Arabidopsis thaliana: one gene and its partner. The protein of the gene in region 1 interacts with the protein of each later gene in a pairwise test. Each region holds a gene or a part of one and is shown on either strand. Other genes may lie near its edges.

Region 1 (15,077 bases):
TTAATACCAGACAATCAATGTTGAGTAGCAGTAAGAACAAAGTTAAATCAATATCCTAATCTGGCCATAGGATCACCTAAAGCTCTAGCATCCAAGCTTACATATTATTTCTTAAATCAATGATTTGATTTCTTCCAAAATGTAAGATTAAGAAATAGAACCTTTATATGGCTTTTTCCTTGAATTATCAAACACCAAGCTGTGCAGTCATGTATGGTCGTGGACAATGATTTTCAATTTTGTAACGACACATACGCTGCAAACAAAATGTGTGGTTGTCCATTACGGATTGTCCAAGTGTTGTAGTCCATATGTTCATCTTCTGTCCAATAGAGAACCTCAAGTACTGAATTTCAAACAAACTGGGCAGAGAAGTTATCAAACATTATCACAGAATTACGAACAAGATCTCCGAAGTCAACATGACAAAACTTTACCTTAGTTGTTCCGAAATTCTTGAACTTTTCTCGAAGTAACCTCAATTGAAATTGAAATTGAGTTTGGACAGTACGAGTTAAGAGTTTTTCAGGCAAAGTAAATCCAAATCGATTTAAGAAATTGCAGAGATTTAGAGGAAATGACAAGAGAATTGGGTTTGGTGTTTTACGGTTGAAAGAGCAAACGAGAGTGTAGTGTGAAAAGCAGTGGTGGTGGACAGTGACGGAGGAGATGGATATCCCGTCGCCGGAGTCCCCTTTTCGAGAAATTGTAATTTAGGATTTTTTATTGGATTTGGATTTTTACGATTCTGGAAAAAAAATTTAAATCACAAAGGCAACTACAAAATCGTGGGCTCCATAAATCTGAATTGGTTTAGTGAAAATGGATTTGATTTGTTTGGTTATAGAAAACCGACGATACGAGGGTGAACAAGTAATTTTAATTATTCAAAGTGCCTAATGATTTTTAAGTGCCTAATTACGGATAAACTTTCAAAAAAGTGTCTAATCACGTAATATTCTCAATTATATATGCACCTAAAAACTTTCTTATCTTGGTTTGAATATTCCATGGAATTAAAAGTCCAGAATCACAATCACAACTAATATTTAAACTTATAAAAAGTTAAAATATCATGAGACAAAAAATATAGCGGAACGGGTTTACATTGATATGAAATATAGCAGAACGGATTTAGATTGATATATATAACACATGTTAAATATTTATTTTATTATTTTATCATCATCAATGTTTTAGTTATAACATTAATATAAAATTATATAATTTTAATATTAAACTAAAACTATAAAATTTAATAGTATCATTATATATAAATAAAATATTTGTTCCGTGATGTATTACGGGTTAAATCCTTAGTGGTGATTAAATTCTAAAAAAAAATTCAGTTACCGCCCCAAAAATAATTTTTAGGTTAATCTGCTAATTAGTTGCGCTAATTTAAGATTTGCACCAATTGCAGTTTTTTTTCTCAAAACAGTAAAAAAAAACTTCTTTGCAGCTCTCAGATTTGGTAAAGTTACCAACTTCAAAGAACTCGAAGAGACCGTCTCTATAGAAAAAGCTGAAATCTTTGGCTTCGTTTTCATCAATTCGAAACTCAAAGTTGTGAAAATCCAAATGGGTAATCATTTTTTAACGTTATCTCTGCTTCTCGTAACAGTCTGCGTTTGCGTTTCTTTCATCACCACGAAGCTAAACCCTAAAGAAGCAATCGTATCTGTCTCTTCCGATTCTGAGATTCCTACTGAAATTCATGGTGTCAAGATCTTGCGTCAAGCTTCAGATACCAAACTTGCTCAATTAGGCGTTGCCTCTTGGCCCAAGTCAGTAACTTTCTCATATCTCTCTGCTTCTTTGCTTTAATGGCGCAGATACAGAACTAGGGCTTAGGGTTTTCCTCAATGGCTTTACTTGTTAGTGTTGATCCAACCTGAGGATTTGTATCATCAATTTTACAGAATCTCACCACTGTTAGCTCAGGACATTTCCTGCTGCAAGAATCTGTTTACATATACTTGTGTCTGAGACTCTGAAACAGACAAGTTCACTTGTGTCTGAATCATGTAATTTTTGTGTTAGTCTCTCTACAAATGATTGATTCTTAAATTAGACGAATAAACCAGAGAAAAATGTTATACATTGCATTTATGGACTGAGTTGTGATGTACATTGAGTAGGTGGGAAGGTGCTCCAAGCAAGTTTCCATGGGAGTTTAAGAAGACAGAGACAATATATTTCATGGAAGGGAAAGTGAAAGTGAATGTAGACGGATACGACGAAGAAGAAGAAACCTTTGAGATAGGGAAAGGAGATGTTGTTGTTTTCCCTAAAGATATGAAAGTTGTTTGGGAGATAACTGAAGCTGTGAAGAAGCAATATAGCTTAGAGGAGTAGTGACTTTGTAGAGAGAATTTGAGTCACATTGATGTTTGTTTGTTGTACTTGGTTACTACTTTGAACTAATAATATCTATGGAATTGCAATGTTGATTAGGATTCTGATTATAGAAGTAAGAAAACTATATATTATATACAATTTAATTAGGACCCCAACAGCTCAAGTACATGACTGTTCTAAGAGATTCTTCAGCCTTCTTAGCCTTCTCGCTCTCACCAGAGGAGGTAACGGCTGCGGAGACAGAAGACGAAGAGAACCTTTTCCCTTGAGAAACAGATCTAACGTTGTTCCGGAGATGTTGATTAACCGACCGGAGTATGTAGTTCCACCGACAAAGACCTAGTTGGTCTTTTAATGCCTCTACGGCTCCGATGCTCACTGCCACTGTCCATGCTTTGCTTGTAGAACTCATCTTTCTTCAGAGAATTAAACTTCTTTGTGTTTTGTGTTTTGTGTATTGAGAATTGTTTTTGTTGATGATGTTTAGAAAGTGAAGTGAATTGGTGTGTTTATGTAAGAGAGAAGAAGCCAACAATATTGCCGTGTAGTTGGAGTTAAAACTAGAAGCTGTGGCCGTTGGTTTTGGTTGTTTACTACTGTCTGGATAGTAAAATGACGTTGTTAGCCTTTTAAGAACGAATTGGATAAGGGGTAATATTGGGATTCTGGTAGTTCCTGGATTAACGAGTGCCGCTATCATGTGCACCTGGTTTTGAGATTGTTCACTTGTTTGGGTTTCGTGTTGTGTCCAAGTTTTGAAATATAGTAAATGTTTTCTTTATCTCCTTGTAGAATAATGCATGTTGGAGATGAATAATAATATAATATCAAAAATCATTTGCCGACCAAAAAAGTAAAAAATATATTAAACACAAAATGTAAATAAATAAATAAAAATTCAATCAAAAGAAAAATGGTTTTGCGATGACTTACTTTTTTTTTTTTTCTTTCTTTCATACAGAAGATGAATACCATTTAACATGAGTATTCAAAAAATCAAAAGTAAAACTAGTATCATCAAATATTTCCGCTAAATTAGTAAACATATTTCCGCTCATAACAATTAGAATGAGAATTTTAGAATGTTGGTTCTGTGACAACCACACAAATTTCCGAGTTTAGTAGATTTGGAATTGGTGTTTTTCTTTGCGATTTACTGGTATGCGCTCTTGAGCAATCGTATACAATTAGAGTAGTAATATTATTTTACTTTTCTGTAAATTGCTTTAATCCGTTCTCAGTTCTCTTTATAACTTCTGTCAAAAATTTAAAATGATATAAAATTTAACATTTTACTAAAAAAAAGAGATTGTAAAAAAGAATATAGAGATTTGTTTTATTTTATCCTTTAATCAGTCATTTTATAAATAATAAATTTCGTTTCAAGTAGTACATTAATTTTTAAAATTTTTATAGATTTAATATACAGATCATTCTAGTATACACAAAAATTAGGATCTATATTATTATTTAAAAAAAAAAAAAGCAGCTCAAGTCGATGAACTAAACATGGGCAAAATCGTCATTGAACTAAACATTCATAGTTTCAGCAGAAACCAAGAAAACCAGCAGCTACAAAACCCACTTTTTGTCTGCACTTTCAAACTCCAAAGGCACGGCACTTTTTGTCTGCTTTCTCTTCTTTTATAAACAAAACCCACTTTGATTCACTTCTCATTCATCATCAACAAACACAAAATCGAAACCAAATCACTTAAACAAGAAAGAAACAAAGAGAAATGAGCTCTGCAAGCAAAACGTGGATGGTTGCTGCAAGCATCGGAGCCGTTGAGGCATTGAAAGACCAACTAGGCGTGTGTCGTTGGAACTACGTGATCCGATCTGCGAATCAGTATCTACGCAACAACTTAAGATCCGTGTCGCAAGCTAAGAAGCTCTCTTCCTCATCAATCGATTATACCAACAAGACCAAGCAAGCTGAAGAATCGCTGAGGACAGTCATGTACTTGAGCTGTTGGGGTCCTAGTTAATGGACAATGGAGGGATTTGAAAACCCTAATCATAGAGTTTTGATAATGTCTCTTTTAGGGTTTAAAACCCTTAAAAAGGTTAAAAATGTATAGAATTTGCTCTGTAAAGTGACTCTTGAGTCTTGAACTAATGATTAATCTCTTTTCATAAGATTTGTTCAAATCGGATTTTTCAGTTACTGCAACTAAGTAAGAAAGACTTAAACTTTGAATATAAATACAGAGAATTTGGTACGTTGTGTGTGACAAAGATTTATTTCTGTTGATATAATTAGGACCCTAAATTGGAGGTTTGTTACAGTCAAAAGTTTGTACTGAGTTTTTACTACAAGTTAGGGATTTTGTTAAATGCTTATCCCATTTTTCATGCAGTTCTGTTGCTAATTCTCCAGCTTAATAAAGAGAGGTTAATTTTGTTTGGTTTATGTGTGTGAACATTTCTTGTCTGAGTAAAGATGGCTAATACTCCATTGATAGTTTCCTTTGGTGAAATGCTTATCGACTTTGTCCCTGACACTTCTGGTGTTTCTTTAGCTGAGTCCACCGGTTTTCTCAAAGCCCCTGGTGGTGCTCCTGCTAATGTTGCTTGTGCCATCACCAAACTCGGTGGCAAATCAGCTTTCATCGGCAAGGTTTGTATAATTTATGTTAGAATCTATTAACTGATGGTGAAAAGTGATATGTGATTGTGTAATGTCTTTTATAGTTTGGTGATGATGAGTTTGGACACATGTTGGTTAACATATTGAAGAAGAACGGTGTGAACAGTGAAGGTGTTTGCTTTGATACCAATGCAAGAACCGCGTTGGCCTTTGTGACTTTGAAGAAAGATGGTGAGAGAGAGTTTATGTTTTACAGGAACCCTAGTGCGGACATGCTCTTGAAAGAATCTGAACTCAACAAGGATCTTATCAAGAAAGCTAAGATTTTCCACTATGGTTCCATTAGCTTGATCTCTGAGCCATGTAGAACAGCTCACATGGCTGCGATGAAAACCGCTAAAGATGCGGGAGTCTTACTCTCTTATGACCCGAACGTTCGGTTGCCTCTTTGGCCTTCTACTGAAGCTGCTATAGAAGGCATCAAAAGTATTTGGAATGAGGCTGATATTATCAAGGTATGTTTGTTTTTGTTGTAACAACCGGACTCGTGTTTTCGATGATCTTAGTGTTCGAGTTTCGTGATGTGTAGGTAAGCGATGATGAGGTAACGTTTCTAACGCGTGGAGATGCGGAGAAGGATGATGTTGTTTTGTCTCTTATGCATGATAAGCTTAAGCTGCTTATTGTTACTGATGGAGAGAAAGGTTGCAGATACTACACAAAGGTAAGGGATCAAATTCGACATGATTGTGTGTGTTTTGGAGTTATCTAAACAAAGTTTTTCGACTGTCGAAAAGCGCAGAAATTCAAAGGGAGAGTGCCTGGATACGCTGTGAAAGCAGTTGACACAACTGGAGCTGGTGATTCATTTGTTGGTGCATTTCTTGTCTCATTGGGAAAAGATGGCTCCATACTCGATGTACGTATAACCAAAGACGTTTTCAGTTCATAGATAAGGCATATGAAATTGAGTTTTGGTGATTGAGTAATGTGAATGTTGCAGGATGAAGGGAAGCTGAAGGAAGCACTTGCCTTTGCAAATGCATGTGGAGCAGTGTGTACTACTCAGAAAGGAGCTATTCCTGCACTTCCCACTCCAGCTGATGCTCAAAAGCTCATGAAATCTAAGTCTAAATAGTTTCAATCTTGTTCTGTTCTGTTTCTGTTTCTTCACTCTTGTCAATTTCCTTGGTTTTCACAGAGTATTTTCTCTGTTATCTGAATAAATCTAGTTTCAAGTTTCTGCCAAAATTGATTCCAAACTAATTCATATACCTTGATTTTTAATTACATGACTAATGTTCTATAACAAATAATCAAGAGGCTCTATAATATAAAGAAATGAACATTTTATTGCATATAGAGAAGGTTACAGAGATTTTGGTAGATAGGTTACAAAACATGACACTCCATTTAGCTTACACAATATGAAACTCAAAACTCTTGGATTTATAATAACTCTCTTCAGACTCAGAAAGTAATATATAGTTTCTTCAATATCAGAGTTCTTTGGATTCAGAAGAGCTGATTTTTGCAGTTTGGTCTTCTTCAGCTGCAATGTTAACAACTCTTGGACCCTTAACTTTTTCAGGAGATAGTTTCGTGAGGTTAATAGTGAGCACACCATTCTCAAGCTTGGCCTTGACTGATTCCATATCTACATTATCAGGTAGCTTGAACTGTCTCCAGAATTTTCCATATGATCTCTCCACTCTATGCCATTGATCTCCTTTCTTCTCTTCTTCTCTTTTCCTCTCTCCACTGACTCGTAAAACTCCGTTCTCCTCCACTTCTATCTTTACTTCATCCTTCTTCAAACCGGGGATATCGAGCATTATCTCATGCCCTTCTGCTGTTTCTTTCCAGTCTACTCTTGCTGGAGACAGAGCCACGCTTGTGTCCCTCTCGAGTCCTAATGGGATTCTCTCCAAGATCTTGAATGGATCAGGGAACCGGTCTAGCCAGAGATCGGATAGCAAGCTGCCTGGAGTAGTTTCAAGTGCAGAAGACAAAGACCCTTCACTTGTTTTGATGTTTCCAAGCAACAAAGCTCCTATGAAGAAGATGCTTAGCAAGTGCTTCATCATGGTTAGTGATTTGGATTTATTGTAGAAGGTTGAAACCAAAATTTTAGGCTTTTAACTTCACTTTCTTATTTTGTTTTCTATGATGGTTAGTCTCAATTCTCTGGTGTATATATAATACACATTGTATGAAGAATGAAGAAGTTTCTTGAAATATCTTTCTTTTGGTAGAGTTTTGCAGAGAGAGATATTGAGATTGTTCTAGCTTTTTTGGCTGTGACTTGTACTAATTATGTTACTACACGTTGGATAAGTTTGTTGTGCCTTTAAGGGTCTTCTCTCATGTTCCAGAGACTTCATGTAAAAACTATGGATTGGATTGGGCCTTAATAGTTATTTATATCCAGGCCTATTTTTATTGGCCCATTATGATATTTGGGACCAATTCTGTTTGTGATGAGTCTTAGAATTTTGGCTGCTGCATGGGAAAGGAATGGGAGAGAGTTTGAATGATGCCATGCTCCATTTCAGTTTCTGACAACATTTTAGAGTTTTTGACCTCTATTGCCCTATGGCTAGTTACTTTTAATTCCACAGTCTTTATGCATATTGTGGTCCTGCCTTTACTTTTGGCTTGCCATGCTTGTGTCTTAAGAGAAGCTTGTCGCTATGTTTGTCAATTTATGTTTTCAAAAGAAAGTAAAACTATACAAGCTTCTGAAAAAGATCTTGTCATGGAGATTTTGGTAGGAGAACATTTATTGGTTTAAATGCCACCCAAAGTTGGTCTAATAACCCCATATTGAGATAAAAATTTCGTCTTCGACATATCGTTGTATATCTATATATAGTTCTCTCTTTTCATGAATAAAGATCATCAATTCCTCTTGGTATCAGAGCCAGGTTTTGATATAACTTATGATCCCACCACACATGTGAACTTATTTAAGCTTGTTCTTTCTTGTTTCCTATATTTAGATTCACTCCTTGTCCTAATTCTCATAAATGTCAAAGAACATTTGTTCTGTCTGTGTATTGGCAATTTACATTGATTTGGATTATAAAGTTGAAGGATGAAGATACAATGTGAAGTGTGTGAAAAGGCTGAAGCAGAAGTACTTTGTTGTTCAGATGAAGCTGTACTATGCAAGCCATGTGACATTAAGGTTCATGAAGCTAATAAACTTTTCCAAAGACATCACCGAGTCGCCTTACAAAAAGATGCAGCCTCAGCCACCACAGCTTCTGGAGCTCCTCTATGTGATATCTGCCAGGTTCCAATCTCTTTTCTCTTTAAACACTCGCTGAGCTCTTTAACCGATGTCTCATATATATGTATATGCAGGAGAGAAAAGGGTACTTCTTCTGCTTAGAGGATAGAGCAATGCTGTGCAATGATTGTGATGAAGCCATTCACACTTGCAATTCTCACCAAAGATTCTTACTTTCTGGAGTACAAGTTTCTGATCAGTCTTTGACTGAAAACTCCGAATGCAGCACTAGTTTTAGCTCTGAAACTTACCAGATTCAGTCAAAAGTGTCTCTGAATAGTCAGTACTCTAGTGAGGAAACTGAAGCTGGAAACTCAGGTGAGATAGTACACAAGAATCCTTCTGTAATCTTAAGTCCTTAGAGATATACACACAACATCATGGTTCCGGAGCCATTGATGTTTAATAATAAAAGTTTCTGTAATATATTATCTTACACAGAAGAAAAACTTGTTGAGGAATCAAATCTTTTTGTTACAACAAATATTAAAACCATGACTTAACAACTAAAGTCAGTGGTCATGGCATCGACACAACCAAAGCTAAGTTGTTCCAATAGTTTCAAGAATTGTAGAAATGTGAATACTATTTGAATCGATCTTAGATATATAAACAAAATTTAAAAAATGAATAAATAATTATTGATTAAATATAATTATTTATCTCAAATATCAAGACTTGGATAGAAAATGCATAACTTAATGAGACAGTCATAGATTACTACTATTAGCTCTTGTACTTTCTTTTTGCCTCACTACAAGAACTATAGACCTTGTTGGATTTGAACCAACGTTGGAACATAACTGATTAAGAAGTGACCATTGAGATTCTTCCTCATCATGATCCAATTGTATACATTTATCTTCTCCCACAACGTGTAAAAAAACGTTGGAGACCCCATGCTTACCACGACACACCAAAACTTTGTTCTCCTGGTCGACCAAAAATTTATCCCACTAGCAAACCAAAAAGGCTTGTAGAAACTTTCTCCATGACGCGGCTCCGGTACCGTCAATCTTAGTTGCAATCCCTACATGATACATCTATATCGCCTACTCGCATGCCACGAGTAGCTAACATACAACATTTTTGATCTTCTCTAGTCACTGATAAAGTGATAGGATGATGATAAAAAGGATGATCACCCGGGAGAGACACACTTGTAAATCTCTCTATTGAAAAATCCAAACAAAGTAAGAATTCCCCACTTTCTATGTCTTGCGTGCAAGCAAGCCAGTAAGTATTTCCATTTACAGACATGACATGCTCTTTTAACCGTGGTCCGTGGTATGAACCAGTCGCTATCTTCACCAACAAATCTCCACGAATTAGGGGTAAAGTCATATATTTCATACCTAAACAAGACTATTGATTACTGAACAAGTTCTCTATAGTGTACAATAAACCTGGAAAAAAAGTTTGATTCATAATGGGATGTTAGACTCTTGTAGTCTTGTTAATATTCCAAACCTAGTGGTATAAGATTTTTAATCAGAAAGAACATCAAATTCTTGAAAAATGATCTTTACAATGCTAGTCAAGGAAAACTAAATAGATGACTGCTCCCTGATTCTTGATCAAACAAAACTTTCACTTTCAATCATTGACAGTACGTAACTTAATATTTTCTGGCATGAGTTCATTTATATCTAAGGCCAAGTCCAACGCCACGGGAAAACGTTAAAATAACGTGGGCATGTTTACTTTTTCACTCCAATCAGACGGTATAATTTGCACTATAATAGTGTGATTCTCTTTTTTTGTACAGTGTAACACTATATTTGATGCACTACTGTAGCCACGGCAAATATTAAAATAATAATTTTTTCTTTTGTGTTAACATTATTATATATTAAAATAGCTTATTTAGTTATAATAGATTATATATGATTTGTAATGAGATTTAAGTAATCTAACTAAGGGTTGTAACTAAAAAATAATTTATAAGTACTATTTTTGTAATCTTTAATTTAATAAAATGATGGATTAGTAGAAAATATTAAAACTAATACCGAAGTTGATTGAAAATACAATAAAATAAATTATACATTTATAACATAATTAAAAAATTAAAACCACACAAACATAAAAACTAAATGCAACAAGATATGTTTTAAAAACATAACAAAAGCTTCACAAATGGTTAAGGAAAATTATTTCCGGTTCCGCTAAGATAATTATAATATTGGGTAAAATCTTCTTGGTTATTTGGTGATCTTTTGTCTTCACCTTGATCCGGTTCTCCTTGAACTTGTTTTCCATGAAATAGACTTTCTTGATAATGAGATGCTCGATATTGAGATCCATGATATTGGGAGCCTTCACCATCTTCTTCATGTTGGTTTGTTTGTGCTCTTTTTTCCAAAATTCTTTTTCTCTCATTTTCAACATATGCACGAGAGGATGGATCACTTATAGAATTCAAATCTGCAAATAATATTTTATTCTCTTCTTTCATTCTAGCTACCTCGATCTTCTGCCTTTGAATTTCATTTCTTTCAGAAGTACCTTTAGTAATAGCTTTGATAAGTTTATCATTTTGCTCCAAAAGTTGTTTAAACTGTTCTTCAGATTGTTGTTTTCGCTTTGCTTTTTTCAAACCCATAGGCCTTGAAGATAAACTAAAATTGGCATCTTCACTATCCATATTTAGATCAATTGAATTCATACCAGGGGAAGGTGATGACTCGGTATTGATTGAAAATGATGAAGATGACGTAACATCACGACCTTCTCCTTGGAATGCAGGGGGTGTCTTCATGTTATCATTAGCAAATTTCTCAATACCTTTAAGAATAGGCCATACATGATCAAATTTGAATCCTCTCTTGTATTTTTCATATTGAGTTAATAACATCTTCGCTTGGTTTAACTGATTACATATTTACAAGAAACAAATAAAAATAAGTTAGCATGTACAAATAATTTAATAAAGATAAGTTAGTAAACACAAGAATTTATAATTGAGTACTTACAATGTCTTCTTCAGAAGCACCGCTAGGATTTTTATTCTCAATTTGGTTAACGCATCCTCTCAGCTTTGAGACTGCAGAAAGAATTGACGTCATTCGAGTTTGTAAAGATCTTTTTGGTCTTCGTTGAAGACGAAAAGGATCGGATTTATGATACTCAGCTTCAACTCTTGTCCATAGTTGATCTCCTGATTGGTTTATTCCTATTATTGGATTTTGGGAAACATCGAGATACACATGACACAATTGTATATCTTCTTGAATAGAATATGACAAAAATTGTAATATTATGTTATATTAATTAATGAAGAATAAAATAATATGTTGTGTTTAATTAAATAATATATTGTGTTTCTTTATTTTGTATTAAATTTGTTTAATGTAATAATTTGTTGTCTAACATTTGTTTCAATATTATTAAATATTTTTAAAGTATTCATATTTTAGGTTAATAAAATAATAATAGAGAATAGTATTTTTAGTGTGACTTTTGGTGTTGTGGTTGGAGATGAAAAAGAATTTAGTGTGAAAATCACACCAAATATAGTGTTATTCTAACACCATTTTAGTGTTGTGGTTGGAGATGCCCTTAGGGCTTATGATCTCTCCTTGCATGAAGCCTCTGCAGCGACCTCCTCCTTCATAGCACTTAACTACAACTGCATAGTAACAAGTAACAACAAAACCACACGTTTACAAAAAAAAAAAAAAAACCACATAAAATTATATTTCTCGAAAATATCGAAATTACACAATTTCATCCAGCACAAAGATCGTAATATTTCATTGCTTTTATTAGTCATTTTTTCTTACAAATCGATCCAATAAAATAATCCTTATTATTACCACACACAAGAATCAAATGCATGTAGACTATTGAGCCTAATCATATGATTAAGCGTAAGTTCTAAAATATTTCTAAAGTACTTAAGAGTGTTAACACCAATTAATGTTTTTCTAGAGAACTATATCTATATAAAAAAAAAAGATTTGCATATGATTAAAATTTAGCTTTTTTTTGTCTGAATAAATTTTTTTAATTTTTAGTGGAATTTTCTATCGATTATGAGATAAAAAATAGTATTATTTTCTAAATTTGGAACATAAAAATAGTTCTTCTTTATTCCCCTTTCTAACAAAGTCGAACAAGTTGAATAAAAAGATATAAAAATGTTCTTTAAATTTCTCTTAAGTTTTTTTTTCTTCGTACTAAGAAACTTATTCTCATGATTTTTCTGATATTACAATTTTAGAATAATGGTAAGCACTATCAATGTTTATTTACACCCAGGGCCTCCATATATAATAAGATGACCGACATGGCTCCAAAACGTCTCCGTTGCATCTCTCACTTTATAACAACTGTCTGAATACCTCTCTGTGTTTTTCACTGTTTTGTCAGTATTATAATTTTCGTCCACAGTCGTAATTAAACGGACATATGAGTCTACTTTGGGGCTCCCCTTCGGATAATGACTATTCCCCATTGGAGGATTTGGAGGCGAAGGGCTATAGACTTCACCACCCCATTCGACCATTGTACCAGAACTTTCTTTGAATCTGCTTGATGGCCAAAACCCAACTTCTTCCCAAGATGTACCCATCAACAACCACCAATTCCCGTTGATTTTGTCCTGTACTCAAACTTTAAATATCAACAAAAATAAAAACTAGGAGAACCACGAGAACCCATACATGATCTCATTTTTGTTAAACTATAATTGACAAAATCTTCACTGGATTTAATTTATGTATTCTTTTAAAAATCTAATATGAATAAATGAAAGTTAGTTATATATGTTGGATGGGATACAAATACCCTAACACTAAATTTTCTTTACCCATATCCATATTCATATTTGCATGCATCTACATATTGATATTACTAGACATATCATATACTCAAACGTTCTTGAATACCCGAAATATACAAAGTTATGGGTATACTAGTTGGAAAAGAACTGACCTTCATTATGGCGAAGTCAATACTTTTTTGCTCGGCAAGTAGACCAGGAGTTAAGTCTTGACGAACTAGTATCATTCCGGATCCGTCAGGACAGAAGAGATTATAACACGCATTTCCTCCCGACTGAATTCAACCATATAATATGCGACCATAAGTCATTGGTTTATCAATTATGCATACATCGTGTATATATATGGTATAATTAAATTATATAAAAACAAGAACTAGCCCACTTACTTTTGTAAATACGAATATCCGAGAGTTGAAGTCATGGTATAATTGTGGGTGTACCTAAAATGAATAGAAAATATGATTCATATACATTAATAATAGAAAAAAGATTTACTATAATACATCAAGTATAAAAAAATAGTGGATCTAAATTAATATTGACTTACGATCCAACCAACTTGGATGAATTCATTTCCAATTTGAAAATGCATCCGAGAAGCGCTGAATTGCATAGGTCCAACTGAAGGAGTGAATGTATTAATATTCATAGATGCACCATTGTAACTCCTAGTTCCTTTAGTAGTTCGCACCACAGCAAACTGAATAGTGAATACAATGGTTGAGAAAACTAACATTCTGATATGGCTAAATTGTAATGCTGAAAAATTAGAATCAATATCTTATAAATTGGTATGAGTAATTTGAGTTAATAGAAACCAATATTTTTCATGTATCGAAATATAACTGTATGAGTTAATAGATAATATTAAATTATGAATACAATATACAATTACTTATGTTTCCTAGTATATCATCCACCATATATATACTCGCCATGAAATATTAATCAAAAATTTCACGTGTTTGTAATAAAGCTATGTATTATTAACATAAAAAAACTACTTAAATATTTTTGTATTCATCAAATTAAAAAGAATATTTTAATCATTGTTTAAATTAATAATTATGTGCTAACATAGTCATCTATAATTTCAGCTATTCCACCAATCTTGTTATTGCGAAGTTCAGTAATATATGTTTAACATTTCTTACTCGTAAGATAACAATTTAAAGAAAGCACTTACATGATGATCGTCAATAGAAGATGCAGGTTTATAGGTTTTGCTCCACGAACTTTGCGGATTAGAATTATCGCTATCGAAGGATTTCATTCTCAAAAGAGCGTCTTTAGTGACTCGAGGTATAGGAACGGTACCAATGGGACAACCTACGCCATTCTCCCAAAAGTGGCCAAATGTTGTGTTTCTATGTGTCTTTCTTTTCATTTTTGATCCTTCAGAGTATGACATACGCATCTCCACATCAAAATCCAATATAAATTATTAATTAGCCATTCCAAAATTAAATTTTATTAAAGTACTCTTCTTAAATTAAACTATAAAAAGGTAAATTAAAACTCAAAAGTGATTTTTTTAAAAAATATGGCTCTTTCTAATCAAAATAGTGTATATGATTATCTATACTTCATATTAAATATAAAAAGAAAATTTGGTCATTATATGTTTATCCAATATATATATATATATATATATATATATATACATTTGGATTTTATCTTTATTTTTAACAATTATGGGAAACCAAACTAATTAAATCCTAAACTTAAATTCTAATCTCCAATCCAGTGGACACAAAAAAAAATTACTTTTCTATTAATAATTAATAAAACAAGAAAATAATCCTATCTTAATTGTCACAATATTGCCAATACTTAATTACCATCTATTCTAAATAGAGTTGAAATCTTCTAAATATCAAGAAAAAATATATTACCAATGCAATACCTTATGGTGAAATGTGTGGTTCTTCATGGATGAGTGGTCAAGTCCTGGTTGTTTGTAGAAATCCACACACCCATATCGTTCACCATTAATAGTCTGTGAATTCATATATAAGAAAATATATTATTTTTTGCAT
Region 2 (16,002 bases), on another chromosome or scaffold:
TTATACAACTTGCAACCGTTAATGTTCATCCTCACCGATTGATCACCTACTCTTTTCCCTTCCTGGGTTTTGTTTCTTTCGAATAAAGATTGATCCTTCTTTCACTTATAATCGTTTTGGTAATCAGTAGGGTTTGGAATCGAGGCACAATGCAAATGAACTCTGTTTGGAAGCTGTCTCTTGGGTTATTACTTCTTAGCTCAGGTATGTATGCAGAATGGTTTTACAAAATTGTTCATTTGATAAAAAAGCTGGACTTGTCTCTGATGTTCTTGGAATAATTGGCAAATTATATCTCAGTTATTGGCTCTTTTGCGGAACTTGATTTTGGCCATTGCGAAACTCTTGTGAAAAAATGGGCTGATTCTTCTTCATCTCGTGAAGAACATGTTAATAAAGACAAACGCTCGCTTAAGGATTTGCTCTTCTTTCTCCACGTTCCGCGAACTGGAGGCAGAACATATTTTCATTGGTGATTTGATTTCCTTTACCAAAAAGTTTTTGAGAGATTCTTTTATGATTGTTGTGTGGTTAAGGCTGTGTTTGTGCTCTTGTAGTTTTTTGAGGAAGTTGTATGATAGCTCTGAGGAATGTCCTCGATCTTACGACAAGCTCCACTTCAATCCAAGGTATCTTAATTTCATCAGTGCTCTCGCTAATTGTACGTCTTTATTTGATGCCAAAGACTCTTTCTTGTGGAAACAATAAGATGGCTTACAGAATGCTGTTTGTACATTCTATTGGTTGTTAAGTTGACTTTAGATAGCTTAGCTAGACATATATAAAGTTAAATATTGTTTCATATGAAAATCAATTTTCCCTAGCCTCCTTTACCTAAAGAAAAACAATGTGAAAAAAGTATTTTGCCTGTGGTGTTACTACCTTCGGACAGTTAAGATCGTGTTGACTCGTAAATTTATAGGAAGGAAAAGTGCAAGTTGTTAGCCACACATGATGATTATAGTTTGATGGCAAAGCTTCCGAGGGAGAGAACTTCGGTGATGACAATAGTTCGGGATCCTATTGCGCGTGTGTTAAGCACTTATGAATTTTCCGTAGAGGTAGCAGCTAGGTTTTTGGTGCATCCCAATTTAACTTCTGCGTCAAGGATGTCTAGCCGCATACGCAAGAGTAATGTAATAAGCACACTAGACATATGGCCATGGAAATACCTAGTTCCATGGATGAGAGAAGACTTGTTTGCTCGGGTATGTCGACCTATCCCATTCGTCTTTTTTGGCTTTTAAGCTAGAACATGATAAGAACACATAAAACTTGGGCTGAAGCTTTTTTTACTCATCCTTGGCTTTTCTTAGCGAGATGCACGAAAATTGAAGGAGGTAGTGATCATTGAGGACGATAACCCGTATGACATGGAGGAGATGCTTATGCCTTTGCACAAATATCTTGATGCGCCTACTGCTCATGACATCATCCACAATGGAGCGACTTTTCAGGTACTTTTTCATGCTATTTGTTTAAGTTTTCAAAGTTATTGATTAGAGATCTCCAGAGCATTTTCATTTCACTTCACAGATTGCAGGATTGACAAATAACTCCCATTTATCAGAAGCACACGAGGTTCGGCATTGTGTGCAGAAATTCAAAAGCCTTGGTGAGTCTGTTCTCCAAGTTGCCAAGGTAGTAACACTTCTTCTTCATCATAGTTCACTGCGTCTTGGTATTGTGCTTTTAAAAGCAGCAGATTCTGTAAGCTTTTTTAAATTTTGCAGAGGAGGCTAGACAGCATGTTGTATGTTGGACTGACAGAGGAGCACAGGGAATCTGCATCACTTTTTGCCAATGTAGTGGGTTCTCAAGTGCTGTCTCAAGTGGTTCCGTCCAATGCAACTGCGAAAATCAAAGCTCTTAAATCAGGTTGGTGTAAGTTTCTTAATACCATCGCTGGGCTATCTAAGGAGAATCTAGCAACTTAGTTGAAGGACATGGTGATCATTTTTTTAGTCACAGTGTACAGTTTTTTCAGAGTACCGCTTTGGAGATGGTATTTACTTTAGTTTTTGGCTTTTGAAAGTCAAAACCCGTCATATTATTCATTAAAATGTTTGACTGATATTTTTCATTCACTTTTTAGGAGTTTGATTTTTAATTACCTAGGGAAGCTACTTATTGTTCTCTGTTATTTGGGGATTATCGTATAAGGTTTGATTGTCTTTCATCATGAAGATTTTTCTGATCTATGTTTCTTGTTGTCACATCATCTTTAAAGGTTCTCTTGCCCTCTTTTGTTTTAGACTTGTGTCTTGTTACTCTGGGTCCCTGGGTTTATTAAAGTTTCTTTGTTGGTTAATCATAGTCTCTTAGAGTAAGTAGAATGATGATATGACAGTTCATGTGCATACAGCCTAGGCTTTCTATTGCTTTTGTTGTATTTAAAGTCAGGATAACAAATGGTTGTACTTGCACTCACCAAATTGTCAACTTTATTTCCTTGATGCTTCAGAAGCAAGTGTCACAATTTCAGAAACCGGGTCAGATAAGAGTAATATTCAGGTAAAGTCCTGCTGCAGAAGGTAATAATTTGTTTGTTCAACTGTCATTTTTGTAATTGTCTTGCTGAAAATGGCTGTGACATTACAGAATGGTACATCTGAAGTTACATTGAATAAGGCAGAAGCTAAGAGTGGGAATGTAAGTAGAATCCCTTTTCCAATTTATTATCAACGCTTGAGACCTTGTGTGACTTTTATATATACACTTCAGATGACGGTAAAAACCCTTATGGAAGTCTATGAAGGCTGCATCACTCATTTACGAAAGTCCCAAGGAACCAGACGGGTCAACTCTCTGAAGAGAATAACTCCAGCAAATTTTACAAGAGGGGTAAAGTGTTTTCGTACATGATCTAAACTTAGTAAAGTTAATGAGAGAAGGCTGGAATAATGAAATCTTTTGACAATGCATCTAACAGACGCGTACAAGAGTTCCTAAAGAGGTCATTCAGCAGATCAAATCGCTTAACAACCTCGATGTGGAGCTCTACAAATATGCAAAAGTAATCTTTGCCAAAGAACATGAATTAGTGTCGAATAAGTTGATCTCAAGTGTAAGAAACTTCTTGTCTTCACATTTCGCCTTTTAGTTTCTGTCTGATATAAGACTAAACTCCATGATTCGTGTGCAGTCTAAGAGAAGCATTGTTGATCTGCCGAGTGAGTTAAAGAGCGTATTGGGAGAAATGGGTGAAGAGAAGCTATGGAAGTTCGTACCAGTGGCATTGATGCTTTTATTGATCGTCCTCTTCTTTCTATTTGTAAACGCTAAAAGGAGAAGAACCTCCAAAGTTAAGATTTGATCATTGTCACTATATTTTGGACCAAATCAGCAATTTGAAGAAGCTTTTGGGGTCCAATTTGTAATATTATTCTCTTTCTTTTTCTACTTTTCGTGGAAAAAGAAAAAGTTTTGGGTGTTGCCTTACCTTACAGGTGAAAAAGGGAAAATCACAAGTAAAAAAAAACTCTCTATCTACTTTATTTTAAAAGGCTAAACAAAACAGGTAAAGTCACAAAATTAGTGCTTCTTTTTTTTTTTTTGTTTAAGTGAGCTTAATCAATAAAGATAAAAGTAATAAGATTTCACAATTTTTTTTTTTTTTTTTTTTTGAGAAAGTACACTACTAACTGGTTTGAATTTGACTGTACCATTTTTCACGCAACAGACTGTGTGCAATTTAAAGTACAGTTCATACAAATCTCTATAAAACAAATTGTACAAAAGCAGTAAATATACCCCCACGTGATATTTGTTTTCTTATCAACGACGCAGTGTAAACAATAATATGTCAAAAATTTTGAAGAAAAAATCATATAAACTATATAAGAAGAAAAAATGAAAAGAAATATGAAGATCGTGTATATTAATTTTTTTTTATATAAAAAATACTAATAATAATAATTGATTGATGGGAGGAAGATAGTAAGTGAAAGGGATGAAACATATCATGTGGGAGATGGAAGCAAAGAGTTAGGCAAGGGACCCACTTTCCCATGAGGAAACGCCATAATCATCTTTATTATTATTATTATTTCGGTTCTCGTCTCTTAATCCTTCGTCGGTGATCTCTCCATTTCACTTTGACTCTCTCTATTATACTAAAGGTTTTTAGTATATTATGTTAAACCCAACTTATTTGTTTGCTACGTAAATTAAATTATACATCAATTCATGATACTATCTATTATTATTGCTAGAGATCGAGATCTATCAACCATCCTTCCCTCAAGGTTATTTTGCCATGTGCTTATCCTATTTTCCTTTTTAGATCTATTCCACGCAATCATTTCTCTATTTAATTCTTTTGACCATCATTAAGTGTTATTACCATCTTTTAATTTCCATGTCGACATACTATTACCATGTTAAAATGGGTAAATTCTTTCTTTTATCCTTTCATTACACCGACATATATTCCTTAAAACCCATTCAGATAAAATATTTGACTGATATTTTACTTACCTTATATATATCAGCTTTAATGATACAATATCTTTATTAATTGCAAGAAGAGGTTTAATGTTACAGTTGTACCCACAAGTTTTAGTGCAACGTTTTCAATTGACTTGGATTAACTTAACAAATACTATTACTACTTCAGTTAGTGTATATATATATTTATTGACATATGTAAAAGAACCAAAATTGAGTTTTTTTTTTCTTTTTGGTAAAACGCGTTGATAGAGAGATTTTTATTTCTCAAAGAAACTGATTAAGATTTTTCTTTAAAGTTAAGAAAAGCAGTTTCCATAATAATAATTTTCATATACAAGTAAGTAAGTAAGTAAGTAATAGTATTACATTATTATCTATTTTAAATGAATGAATCTCTCTCTCAAAGAAACTGACGAGACATTGAAAACTCCCATCTACCTTTTCTCTTTCTCTCTCTCTCCCTCCCAAAGTCGAACCTGCAATCCCTAAATCCCCAATTTGAGACCATCTCCAGTTCGTCATCGTACGACGACTCTCTCTCTCTCTCTCCTCTTCTCTGTATAGTCGAATTATATTACAAGGTTCGTTGCGTCTCTCTCTCCCTCTCTTTCTCTCGTTAGGGTAAAAGCTTTCTCTTTTATTGTGTCTTGTCTTGCATTTTCCTCTGTTACGTTTTGCGTTGTTTTCGAAAAATGTAGGAAATAAATTTGGTTGCTTGCTTTGTTGGTGTGTGAACCGACACTTATCTCTGTGATTTTTTTAATTAAATTCTCAGTGATGTTTGAAGGAATTGTTTCAATCTTCGTTACCTTAAAATGATGTCGTCATTGTTATTGTATTGGGTAAATTTTCTGTTTTGTAATTGTTTTAGCATATGTCTCTGTCTGATTGTGTCAGAGTTTTGAGTGAAACCCCCAAAGTTTTTTTTTTTTTATTTAACTGGACATGAAGCTGTTTTTGAATTCAGCTTTTGGTGAATTTTACGCTGATTTTTGAATGTGTTTTATCTTTTCTTGGGTACAGTTAGATAGATAGCATGAATTGGTTACCTGAAGCTGAAGCTGAGGATGACTTCAAAGGTCTTCTCTCTGGTGATTTCTTTGATGATCTCATCAATCACCTTGACGTCCCTCTTGATGACATTGATACCACCAATGGTGAAGGAGATTGGGTTGACAGGTTTCAAGACCTTGAGCCTCCTCCCATGGATATGTTCCCCACTTTGCCTTCTGACCTCACCTCTTGCGGCTCTGGCATGGCCAAGGCCCCTCGTGTGGATATTCAAAGGAACATTCCTGCTTTGGTGAGTTCTTTGTTTTTTTTATCACTTTTGCATTTTACTTGTTTTGATTTTTACCCAATTTGAGTAAAAAAAGCTTTTCTACCTGAAATTTTCTTGCTTATTTAGTTACTCATATAATTTGAGTGATGTCAATCTTTCACTTTCCGCTGTGTTTATAACCATAGTTAGCAGCATTCATGTAGAGGGTATTCCTAATCCGAGTATAATCTTGTGTCACTTACTTTACTGGTGCATTGATTGTGTTCCTGATTTTGCAATCCATCTGATTTGTTTGGTTTCGTTGGTGCAGAAACAGTCCTATTCTTCTGAAGCCTTGTCCAGCACTCTCCACCAATCTTCAGCTCCTCCTGAAATCAAAGTTTCGAAACTATTTCAGTCTTTAAGTCCAGTGTCAGTTCTCGAGAACAGTTATGGTTCTCTCTCGACCCACAACAATGGATCTCAGAGATTGGCTTTCCCTGTGAAAGGCATGAGAAGCAAGCGCAAACGCCCCACAACACTGAGACTTAGCTACCTTTTCCCCTCTGAACCCCGAAAGCCCGAGAAGTCAACCCCGGGCAAACCTGAATCCGAGTGTTACTTTTCTTCTGAGCAACATGCCAAGAAGAAACGCAAGATCCACCTGACCACCCGCACGGTCTCTTCCACTCTGGAGGCAAGCAACTCGGATGGGATAGTCCGCAAATGCACTCATTGCGAGACAACCAAGACCCCACAGTGGAGGGAAGGACCCAGTGGACCGAAGACCCTCTGCAATGCTTGCGGAGTGAGGTTCAGATCTGGTCGCCTAGTTCCAGAATACCGACCAGCCTCAAGCCCCACCTTCATCCCAGCTGTGCATTCAAACTCACACAGGAAGATCATTGAGATGAGAAGGAAGGACGACGAACAGTTTGATAGCAGCATGATTCGGGCAGTGATATCCAGAGGGTAAAGCAGTTTTTTTTTTAAAGTTTGGTCTCTGATCCGCAGAAATGGGAAGTCAGTGGAGGAAGAAGATGGTATAAAAGTAGGGTTTAGTGACTGTTTTCAAATCTGATGAAGAGAGTTTAGTGGTTTAGTTCAAGTTAGGGATATGAAATATTTTGTTGTTTCATTATGTGTTTTTATCTTTATCTCTTGGCTGACATTTGTGTATCAGAGGAAAACAGGTGAAGCCAAAGTTTGCTCTCTTTTTTTCGCTATTTCAAATCTATTCTTTTTATTCTTCAATCCCATAATCTTCTTCTTTTTTTCATCTGTTTTACTATTTTGCATTAGTTGAAAAATAAACGCCCATCAAATTCAGTCATGGAGGCTGCTTGCTTATGTACGTATATGATTAATGTTCAACAGAAGGAAACTGAAGTGCAAAAGAGTTTCTATGTAGGTTAAAGACGGACACCTTGGTGGTAAGCTAAGTAACAACTTCCTCTAGCTGACAACAACAGAAACTTAATGATAACAGAGAAAGATTAGAAAACAAAAGCTTTTTTCACAGAGACGAGAGACTCACCTACAAGAAATTTCAACTAAAACCAAGTTTTGTTTCATTACGCTCATACAAAATCACACTGTACAAGATGCTGACTCTAAACTCCAACTTCATGATCCACTTTCCAGTAATTGTTATCGTTGAACTCTTTCATTCCTCAGTCTTTAGGTCCTCAGCCATCTCCTTGTTCATCTTCATCGCTTGCTCCATGCCTTTCTCTGTCACTTGTGCTTCCACTCCCACAAATTCCACGTCCTTATCAAAGAAGGATCTTTCTGAACCGTTTGGAATCAAAGATTCGGTTTTGACGTCAGGCATTGGTAATGTCGAGGCTCATTATGTTCTTGGTGTCATCATCATCGATAAAGAACATTGATCTTTTGGTTGGAGACCTTAGCCTCATGACTTGTGAAGATGGATAACAAACCTTAGCCTCATTATGTTCTCTGCTTTAGTGGGTTGTTGGTACCCAAGGTCTAATCTTTTTGGTGGGTTGTGTTTATATACCCCAACCCAAAGGGTCTCTGATTAATAATTTGGAATGACTAATCGCAACTCATGTGTTCATTTCTGTGTATATAAATCCCAAACCAGTTGACCATTAAAAGCAAAAACAAAAATGACGAGACATTGAAAACTCCATCTACCTTTTTCTCCCTCCTCTTCTCTCTCCCATTCCCAAATTCGAACGAACCTGCAATCCCTAAACCCCCAATTTAGACCATCTCCAAATTCGTCGTCCTTTTCTCTGTGTAGTCTAATTATATATTACAAGGTTCTTGCTCTCCTCTCTCTTTCTTTCTTTCTTTACTGGGTTTTATATTTTGTTGCTTTGGTGGTGTGGGAATGAATACTTGCGACCGACACTTGTCTCACTGTTAAAAGAAATTGTTTCAATCTTCGTTACCTTCAAATGTCGTCATTGTTATCTGTTGCGAAATTGCTTTAAGTCTGTGTCATTAGTGAAACCTCGTAATTGAATTTTTTAACTTGTAATTTTTTGGTGGACATGGGAGCTGTTCTTGAACTCCTGCTGCATATGTGTTGAGTTTTAAGCTCATTTTCTAATCGCTTTACCTTTTCTTGGTTTACAGTAGATGAATTGGTTACCTGAAGCTGAAGCTGAGGAGCACTTGAAAGGTATTCTCTCTGGTGATTTCTTTGATGGTCTCACCAATCACCTTGATTGCCCACTTGAAGACATCGATTCCACCAATGGTGAGGGAGATTGGGTCGCCAGGTTTCAAGACCTTGAGCCTCCTCCCTTGGATATGTTCCCTGCTTTGCCTTCTGACCTCACCTCTTGTCCCAAGGGCGCCGCTCGTGTGCGGATTCCCAACAACATGATTCCTGCTTTGGTCAGTTCTTGTTTTCTTATCACTTACTTGATAGAGTTTTACCCTATTAGATAGAGTATATCATCTATTTAAACTGAATTTGTCTTGCTTATTAGCATCATTCATGTAGAGGTGCATTGATTGTGTTCCTGATTCCTGAATTTTAATCCATCTGCTTTCTTTGGTTCTGTGGGTGCAGAAGCAGTCCTGTTCTTCTGAAGCCTTGTCCGGCATTAATAGCACTCCCCACCAATCTTCAGCTCCTCCTGATATCAAAGTTTCATATCTATTTCAGTCTCTAACTCCAGTGTCAGTTCTCGAGAACAGTTATGGTTCTCTCTCCACCCAAAACTCCGGATCTCAGAGATTGGCTTTCCCTGTGAAAGGCATGAGAAGCAAGCGCAGACGCCCCACAACAGTGAGACTTAGCTACCTTTTCCCCTTTGAACCCAGAAAGTCAACTCCGGGTGAATCAGTAACCGAGGGTTACTATTCTTCTGAGCAACATGCCAAGAAGAAGCGCAAGATTCATCTGATCACCCACACCGAGTCTTCCACTTTGGAGTCAAGTAAGTCGGATGGGATAGTCCGGATATGCACTCATTGTGAGACAATCACGACCCCACAGTGGAGGCAAGGACCCAGTGGACCCAAGACCCTCTGCAACGCTTGCGGAGTCCGGTTCAAATCTGGTCGCCTAGTTCCAGAATACCGGCCAGCCTCAAGCCCGACCTTCATCCCATCTGTGCATTCAAACTCACACAGGAAGATCATTGAGATGAGAAAGAAGGACGACGAGTTTGATACCAGCATGATTCGCAGTGATATCCAGAAGGTAAAGCAGGGGAGGAAGAAAATGGTATAAAAGTAGGGGTTAGTGACTGTTTTCAAATCTGATGAAGAGAGTTTAGGGGTTTAGTCAAGTTAGGGATATAACATATTTGTTGTTTCATTATGTGATTTATCTTATCTCTCTCTCATTTTGCGAGCAATATGGTTGCACTGACGTTTGTGTATCAGAGGAAGAGAGGTGAAAGCCAATGTTTGCTTTTTTGCTTCTTTGCTTCAATCCCATAATCTTCTATTTTTCGTCTGTCTTAATATTTTATATTAGTTCAAAAGAAGTGAATAGCTTCAAATTCATTTATTGACTTTGTCACCCTTTAGGTTTACTATATGATTTGATGTTTGTCAAGCGAAACTAAACTCAAAAGAGTCCAAATATACTTTAAAACGGACAACTTCGTGGTAGGCAAAGTAAATAAGCACAGACAACTTCCTCTAGCTGACAACAACAGAAGCCTAATGATAAAAGAGAAAAAGATACATGCCAAAGAGAGAGAGACCCTTGCACCAAATTTTAACTAATAACAAGTTTTGTATCATACTCTCACACAAAATGACACTGTACAAGGTAACGACTTTTTCATTCCAACACTCCAACTTCTTGATCCACTTTCCAGTAGTTGTTATCGTTGAACTCTTTCACTCCTCCTGAACTTTCCTCCGGCTTTGAGTCCTCAGCCATCTCCTTGTTCTTCTTCATCACTCCAGCTTCTCCTACTATCCCTTCTTTCATCGCTTGCTCCATCGCTTTCTCTGCCCCTTCTGGTTCCACTCCCACAAATTCCACGTCCTTCTCAAATAACGATCTTTCTGACCCGTTTGGAATCATGGATTCAGATTTGACCTCAGCCATTGGTATGTCGAGGTTCATTATGTGCTTGCTGTCATCATCATCATCATCATCGATAAATGGGTTCAGACCGGTGCCACTCGCTTGCATATCAGATGGTTCTCCCCACCCGACCCATTCGGGTGGCTGTTCAGCAAAAGCTTCTTCAGCTTTCTGTGAGGTGTTGAAGTCGAAGAAATCCAGTGGACTCTCCATTTGAAAGTTGGTTTCAGTTGTGTTCAACGCGTTGTCTTTTGGGTTTCCAGTTAGATCATCGTCTTCTTCTCCAACCACAACTTCATCATCGTCACTACTGCTAGTGTTGGCATTATAGGTTTTATTCAATTCCACGTCTATCGTGTTCGAACCCGCTGTGTCAGAGGGTGTGCTGCCGAATCTATCGTCTTGGAATGTGAACCAATTCGAATTTGTAAACAAGCTGCGGCAAAATACCAAAAAAGATTCAAGTCATTATTTTGAGAGACGTCATCATTCGTTTTTTGGTCAAGAGAGATGACATAATTCAATCACCAAGATACAGTAACTGTAGTTTAAAGCAAGGACATGAGGACACCAGTATTAACAGATAATAAAAAGATAAACTCACCTTCCTTGGTCATCCCCAAGTCTTAAGGATGAAATTACTACTTCAGCAGATTCATCGTCGAAGTAAACATCCTGTATAGTATATAAACACATTCCAATTTTCAATAGCAAACTCTTATTAGCGTACATCCCCCATACGTATCATAGTGTGATAAAAGATGTTGATAGTTTCCTTGATTTTTCAAAAAAGCGGAGAGAAGAATTTTTGCAAGACTTACATCATCGTCTCTATCAAGGGCATTGTGGTCCTGAGAGAAATACAAAGACGATAAATTCAGTACCCAGGAAATCATTCATAAATTGAAGAAAAAGCACTAGTGTGAGAAGATACCTCTTCATTGTCATCGTTTCCATATATTTTGTATCTAAATGCTTGGCTTAAGTTATTGGCCAGAGCTGCAACATCGTAATCCCTGTCTTCCTCATCGCTATCTCTTGTCCTATCTTGTAGGGTAGTTGGGCGCCTACACGTAACAATTAGTTTAGGAATTTTTATAACCAAAAAGAGTGAAGATAAAATCCAAAACCCGGGACCAGATCATGGTGCATTTACTGAGTGGTCTCGTCATGAGAAGAAATATTATTTGACTATGATACCATCAGTCATCAATGCAGAATTATCTTTGAGGGTTTTGTCCAAGAGGAACAAGGATCACACATGAATTTTTACATCCATAATCAGCATTATGTAGCAGACTGACCAATTAAATGGTTACTAGATGATTTGTGAGTAGAGGTTAACATACCCACATCCCCATCTGTTGACATTTTCAACCGTGTTGCGGTCCTGCAGAACACTACCTTGCCACTCATTCCATTCGCTGTTTTCCTAAAGATTTGGGAATGAACAAAGCACAATCAGCAAACATGGTAGATTCCAACAGAGTGCTAGGACCATTCATCACAAGACTCAACTAATGGTTTTACATTCTTTATGCGTGTGAAGTGACAAAAAAGCGGCAGAAGAAAAACAACACGACACGTATAATTTTTATACCAACCTGAAGGTATGCCTTTATCTGGCCATTGCTGTTACTCAACTGACCAATTTTATTTGATATTCTTGTGATATGCCCGACATACCCGACACGAGGTTTTTTTTTCCCGGAGGCAGCTACAGTGGGCTACCTCGCACAAAAGAAAAAGAAAATGCCAGAGAATATTTGTTTAGCTAATGAACGCTGGAGCAATGAGTCAATGGAGCTAACTTGGAGCTGTATTAAGATGACTCTTTCATATGCTGATGATCAGTTAAACCTTTGTGAACATAGCAAATGGTAATACCTGGCTATCACCTAAGAGGTTTGAGTCCCTGTCCGACAAGAGGAATTTGCCAATCAGATCGCAGTCTCGAAGAATATGGTTAACCATCAAATCGCTCTTGTTTTCCAAACAAGAAAGTATTATACTCTCCACTTGATGATGCAGAGCATTATTGTACGGGTACCTTCATATGTCGAGAGTATTTGATTTTTTAAGATCTCGTAGAAATAGCACACGGTAATCACAAAATTTTAAGTTTAGCAAAACCTACTCGAAAAACAGATCAAGGGTCCTTTTGATTGTTCCTGAACTGACTAATTCCTTTTGTGCAGCTTCACTTCTAGTTTTCAACAAAACTGCAATGAACTCCACAATCTGAAACAAAGAAAATAAGATAAGTGAGTCTAATTAAGTATAGAGACTTTACATACAATATATTAAGAGCACTGTTGGTGTCCTAAAAACGACAATGTCTTCCATAAAATGCTCCATGTTTGGACCTGACCTTTAGACGATGCTTTCCGAGAGGAGGCCTCAGTTCACCATATGTTGTAGGCAATACTGTGCTATCAGATGCTACAGTGAGAAGCATAAGCAAGTCATCTGCAGAAAAAAAAAAAAATATTACTTAAGGTCATTGAATGCATAAAACCTGATTTGAAAAACTTGTATGAGACAGTATCATACATATCCAAGATGTGCTACGTAAGCATTCCAGAATTATGTAAAACCAGTTTCCATTTATCAATATAAACCAAAATAGAAGAGACCAAATAGAGAGCAGGGAAGATCAAACAGAACGTCCAGATAGATGCTAAATACTCTAGGTATCCTCGCAAATGGAAAGTAATATCACATAAGAAAAGGATTGACTATTGTCCAAGTGCACAATAAGATTATGTGCATGCAACAAATAAAAAAGCCAGAAAATTAATAATCTTGATGGTCATGTGACGATGGTGCATCATAGGATCCAACTTACTGAGTTTGGGCAGCATGGCACCAATAGTTTCTGGGGAAACTGGGACAGGAGACTCGAACATATGTTGACCTCTGTAAGAATTGAACATAGAAGATGAAACAGCAGATCTCCTCGGATCCAGAAGAGAGGTGCATACTGAAAGTGAATGAACTAGACCGGATTTTGAATGCGAGTCTTCAAGAGCATGACCAAATATCTTTGCAACGTAGCTGCAAAAACAGGGAAAAAGTTGTGCTGCCATGTGAAACACTTTTGTATCATCTATCAAAGCATTAGGAATCATCATGGAAGAAAGATTACAAACCCAGGGCTAGAGAGCTGCGTAGCTAAAGCTGACGGTGCATTCCGAGAAATTGCACATAATGTTTCTGCTGCATTTGCCTGAACCTCCGGAGGACTCTGATTCAAGTTGTAATGCAAGAAACATATCAGAATGAAGATGATAGAAGAAATTAGTAATATCATCAGATATCCTAGATTTACACCACCTACAAGTATCAAAGAGAAAACCAAGAGCCTCTTGTCTCTGGGATGATTATAGAAAAGCTTAACCACTTACAGATGGTTTAAGTTTGTCCACGATCATTTCAAGTAAATTGCTATCAGCCAACCATTGCATCACATCCAGAAAGTTGGGATAGACTTGGTCATCAGCCCCAACCAAGCGAACCAAAACCTAGAAAAAGTCGCGTAAATATCATAGCAAAAAAGACCTCTGAAACCACACCAAGTTGCACTGAGTCTAAGTCAAACCAATTACCTCCATGATGGATGTTATCCCAATCAAATCAACTAACTGGCAGAAAACATTTTGATGCCCCTGTGATCATCAAAAGTTACTTTGAGAACTGAATACAAAACAAATAACAAAAAAATTCAACTAAATTGTCTGTCACATCAATATAATTGCCAGCAATTGAAGAATAGAGTCATGTCAATCTCATCTACTAACAATTTACTAAATAGACGGACATCTGGCTTGCGAGATTACAATGGAAGGTAATATCAATTCTGAATAGAAGAGTTAACAGAAAATAAGACGTATTCTACAGTACTCCTGGATAATCCTAGAAATCAGTTCAAATAGTTTCCATAATATATTTCTCATATAGTTTACCATCCGTTTAACTATGTGTTATTACTTACTTTTACATAATTCATAAGCGCTGCAGTTTTTCTGATCATAAGGCAAATGACAACCTACACCAAACAGAGAGAAGTAAGAATCACTTCTCGGAGCCTTGAAATGAAGTCATATGTATCGGTACAAACAAAACAAAAGAAAATTACAGGAACTTGGCTAATACGTAAACTTATGTATCGTAAGAGAGAATACCTTGCTGAAATAGCCTGCCAGCAATGCACTATGAGGACGATTTGGTTCCAGAAAGGAAAAAAGCAAGTTCATCAGCTGCAAGATAAAATTATTCGAACAAATGAGAATCTAGGATAACAATAAACATAATCCAGATGCACAGAAAAGTGAAAAGTATGAACTGCTATTTGAGGAAAAGGTAGTAGGATGAATGAAAAATACCTCTTCATCCTCGACCAAAGTTTTTAGAATAACATCAATTTCACATGTAAATATTTCACAAGAGATGAATGGAAACCTAAAAGAGAAGAAACTATTATTAGTTAGAGAGAAAAGAAATCCAGAACCATTCAAAAGAAAAGTGGATAAAAGGCAAAAGGAGAGGATGGTAAGACAAGGTAATTCCAGTTAGAATCAAGGAAGCATATTACTTGAAAGCACGTTTACTATCAGCATCCTGTGGAGGTTCTTCAACAATGTACCGCAATAATTGCTCCACTTGAGCTTTATCCCTTAGACTGCAGACATTAATACCCAATCAATAAAGTCATCCAAGAAAATACGAAGGAAATATGGGACTCCTTAACTAAAACTCCGCAGATAGAGGAGACATAGGATTCAACATACACCATAGGGTTTATCTGGTTCTATGAAACAGATAATGAGGAATATAAGCCAATTATAAATGATTAAAAAAAGCTTACAAGTTAATGAGCCTGCTATTCAAAGCCTTGCATTCTTGAATAATCTCTTCCTCATCAAGAAGCTCTTCCAACGTGAAATTTTCTTTGTCTAATATTATCTCCACCTGCGCTCATAACAAAAGGAAAGAACATCAATACATGAACAATTCACGACTCAGAGACAATAATTCAAAAAATTGAAATCTAGCAAATCCAAAAATTCGACATAAATTATATGAAAAAGCAAAGCAACGGATAGAAACTCCAATAATCTAATTCTAAAGCATATCAGTATCTGTAGACAAGATGAACGCTAACATACAACACGACATCTAAAAATTCAACTCACAGGAGATGATGCAGAGAGAGATGTGAGCTTCCAAAACATGGTGGCGAGGGAGGAGTGGAGCTAGAGAAAGTTTCGCCGTAGCTGAAGAGAATAAGGAGAACTTGGCGAGATCCGCCAGAAACCTAGAAGAAAAATCTAGGTAATCGCTTCTTCGCGGTGGAGGAGTATCGATTTCAGCTCGAAAACCCTAATCGATCAGTGAAGAAAGAGATTGAGAGATCCTAAAGATGATGGAAGCGGAGATGGGAGATCGGAGGTCGAAAATTTTGAAAATTAAGAGGCCGAATTTTGCATAAAGAAGGGGAAAAGTAAAAAATGGTCTTATTATTATTTGTTATTTTATTCCTTTGATTGATTAAGAAAAAGTTGAGCGAATTATTATTAACTAAATCGCCATTTTCACAGATTTGTGTGTCTAATAAAAGTAGACTTATGATTTTTTCGTAGTCGTTGTCTGATGATCATGATTCATGACGATGGTGGTGGTGGTGGTGATAGTAACATACATCATCTTTATGGATACAATTGAATGATCGTGAGATATTGTAACAGAGAGGGGGATA

The links.
Region 2: the proteins of bbx23 (region 1) and GATA10 interact in binary tests that used the Arabidopsis thaliana proteins (3 or more experiments, as listed by UniProt).

What each region holds. Positions count from the first base shown.
Region 1 is NC_003075.7:6,362,501-6,377,577, reverse strand, and holds bbx23 (B-box zinc finger family protein), read left to right. Parts: upstream 1-7,627; 5' UTR 7,628-8,051; coding exon 8,052-8,252; intron 8,253-8,323; coding exon 8,324-8,611; 3' UTR 8,612-8,749; downstream 8,750-15,077. Other genes in the region: AT4G10280 (RmlC-like cupins superfamily protein), read left to right, coding at 1,582-1,787, 2,142-2,358; AT4G10270 (Wound-responsive family protein), read right to left, coding at 2,501-2,773; AT4G10265 (Wound-responsive family protein), read left to right, coding at 4,101-4,352; AT4G10260 (pfkB-like carbohydrate kinase family protein), read left to right, coding at 4,808-4,984, 5,059-5,469, 5,544-5,678, 5,757-5,873, 5,958-6,092; ATHSP22.0 (HSP20-like chaperones superfamily protein), read right to left, coding at 6,454-7,041; AT4G10230 (no-apical-meristem-associated carboxy-terminal domain protein), read right to left, coding at 10,393-11,121, 11,225-11,317; AT4G10220 (NEP-interacting protein, putative (DUF239)), read right to left, coding at 12,499-12,855, 13,188-13,310, 13,425-13,478, 13,586-13,738, 14,225-14,455, 14,945-15,037. UniProt on the Arabidopsis thaliana protein: Probable transcription factor that may be involved in seedling photomorphogenesis.
Region 2 is NC_003070.9:2,476,889-2,492,890, reverse strand, and holds GATA10 (GATA transcription factor 10), read left to right. Parts: upstream 1-7,164; 5' UTR 7,165-7,379; coding exon of another isoform or gene 7,380-7,547; 5' UTR 7,548-8,004; exon of another isoform or gene 8,005-8,323; 5' UTR 8,324-8,326; coding exon 8,327-8,587; intron 8,588-8,765; coding exon 8,766-9,431; 3' UTR 9,432-9,651; downstream 9,652-16,002. Other genes in the region: TPST (tyrosylprotein sulfotransferase), read left to right, coding at 150-204, 301-472, 558-629, 923-1,208, 1,317-1,457, 1,537-1,641, 1,734-1,878, 2,465-2,514 and 4 more; GATA11 (GATA transcription factor 11), read left to right, coding at 5,489-5,755, 6,045-6,689; AT1G08005 (serine/threonine-protein phosphatase 6 regulatory subunit), read right to left, coding at 7,380-7,547; AT1G07990 (SIT4 phosphatase-associated family protein), read right to left, coding at 9,993-10,680, 10,849-10,919, 11,066-11,095, 11,179-11,311, 11,594-11,676, 11,849-11,971, 12,132-12,294, 12,382-12,485 and 11 more. UniProt on the Arabidopsis thaliana protein: Transcriptional activator that specifically binds 5'-GATA-3' or 5'-GAT-3' motifs within gene promoters. May be involved in the regulation of some light-responsive genes.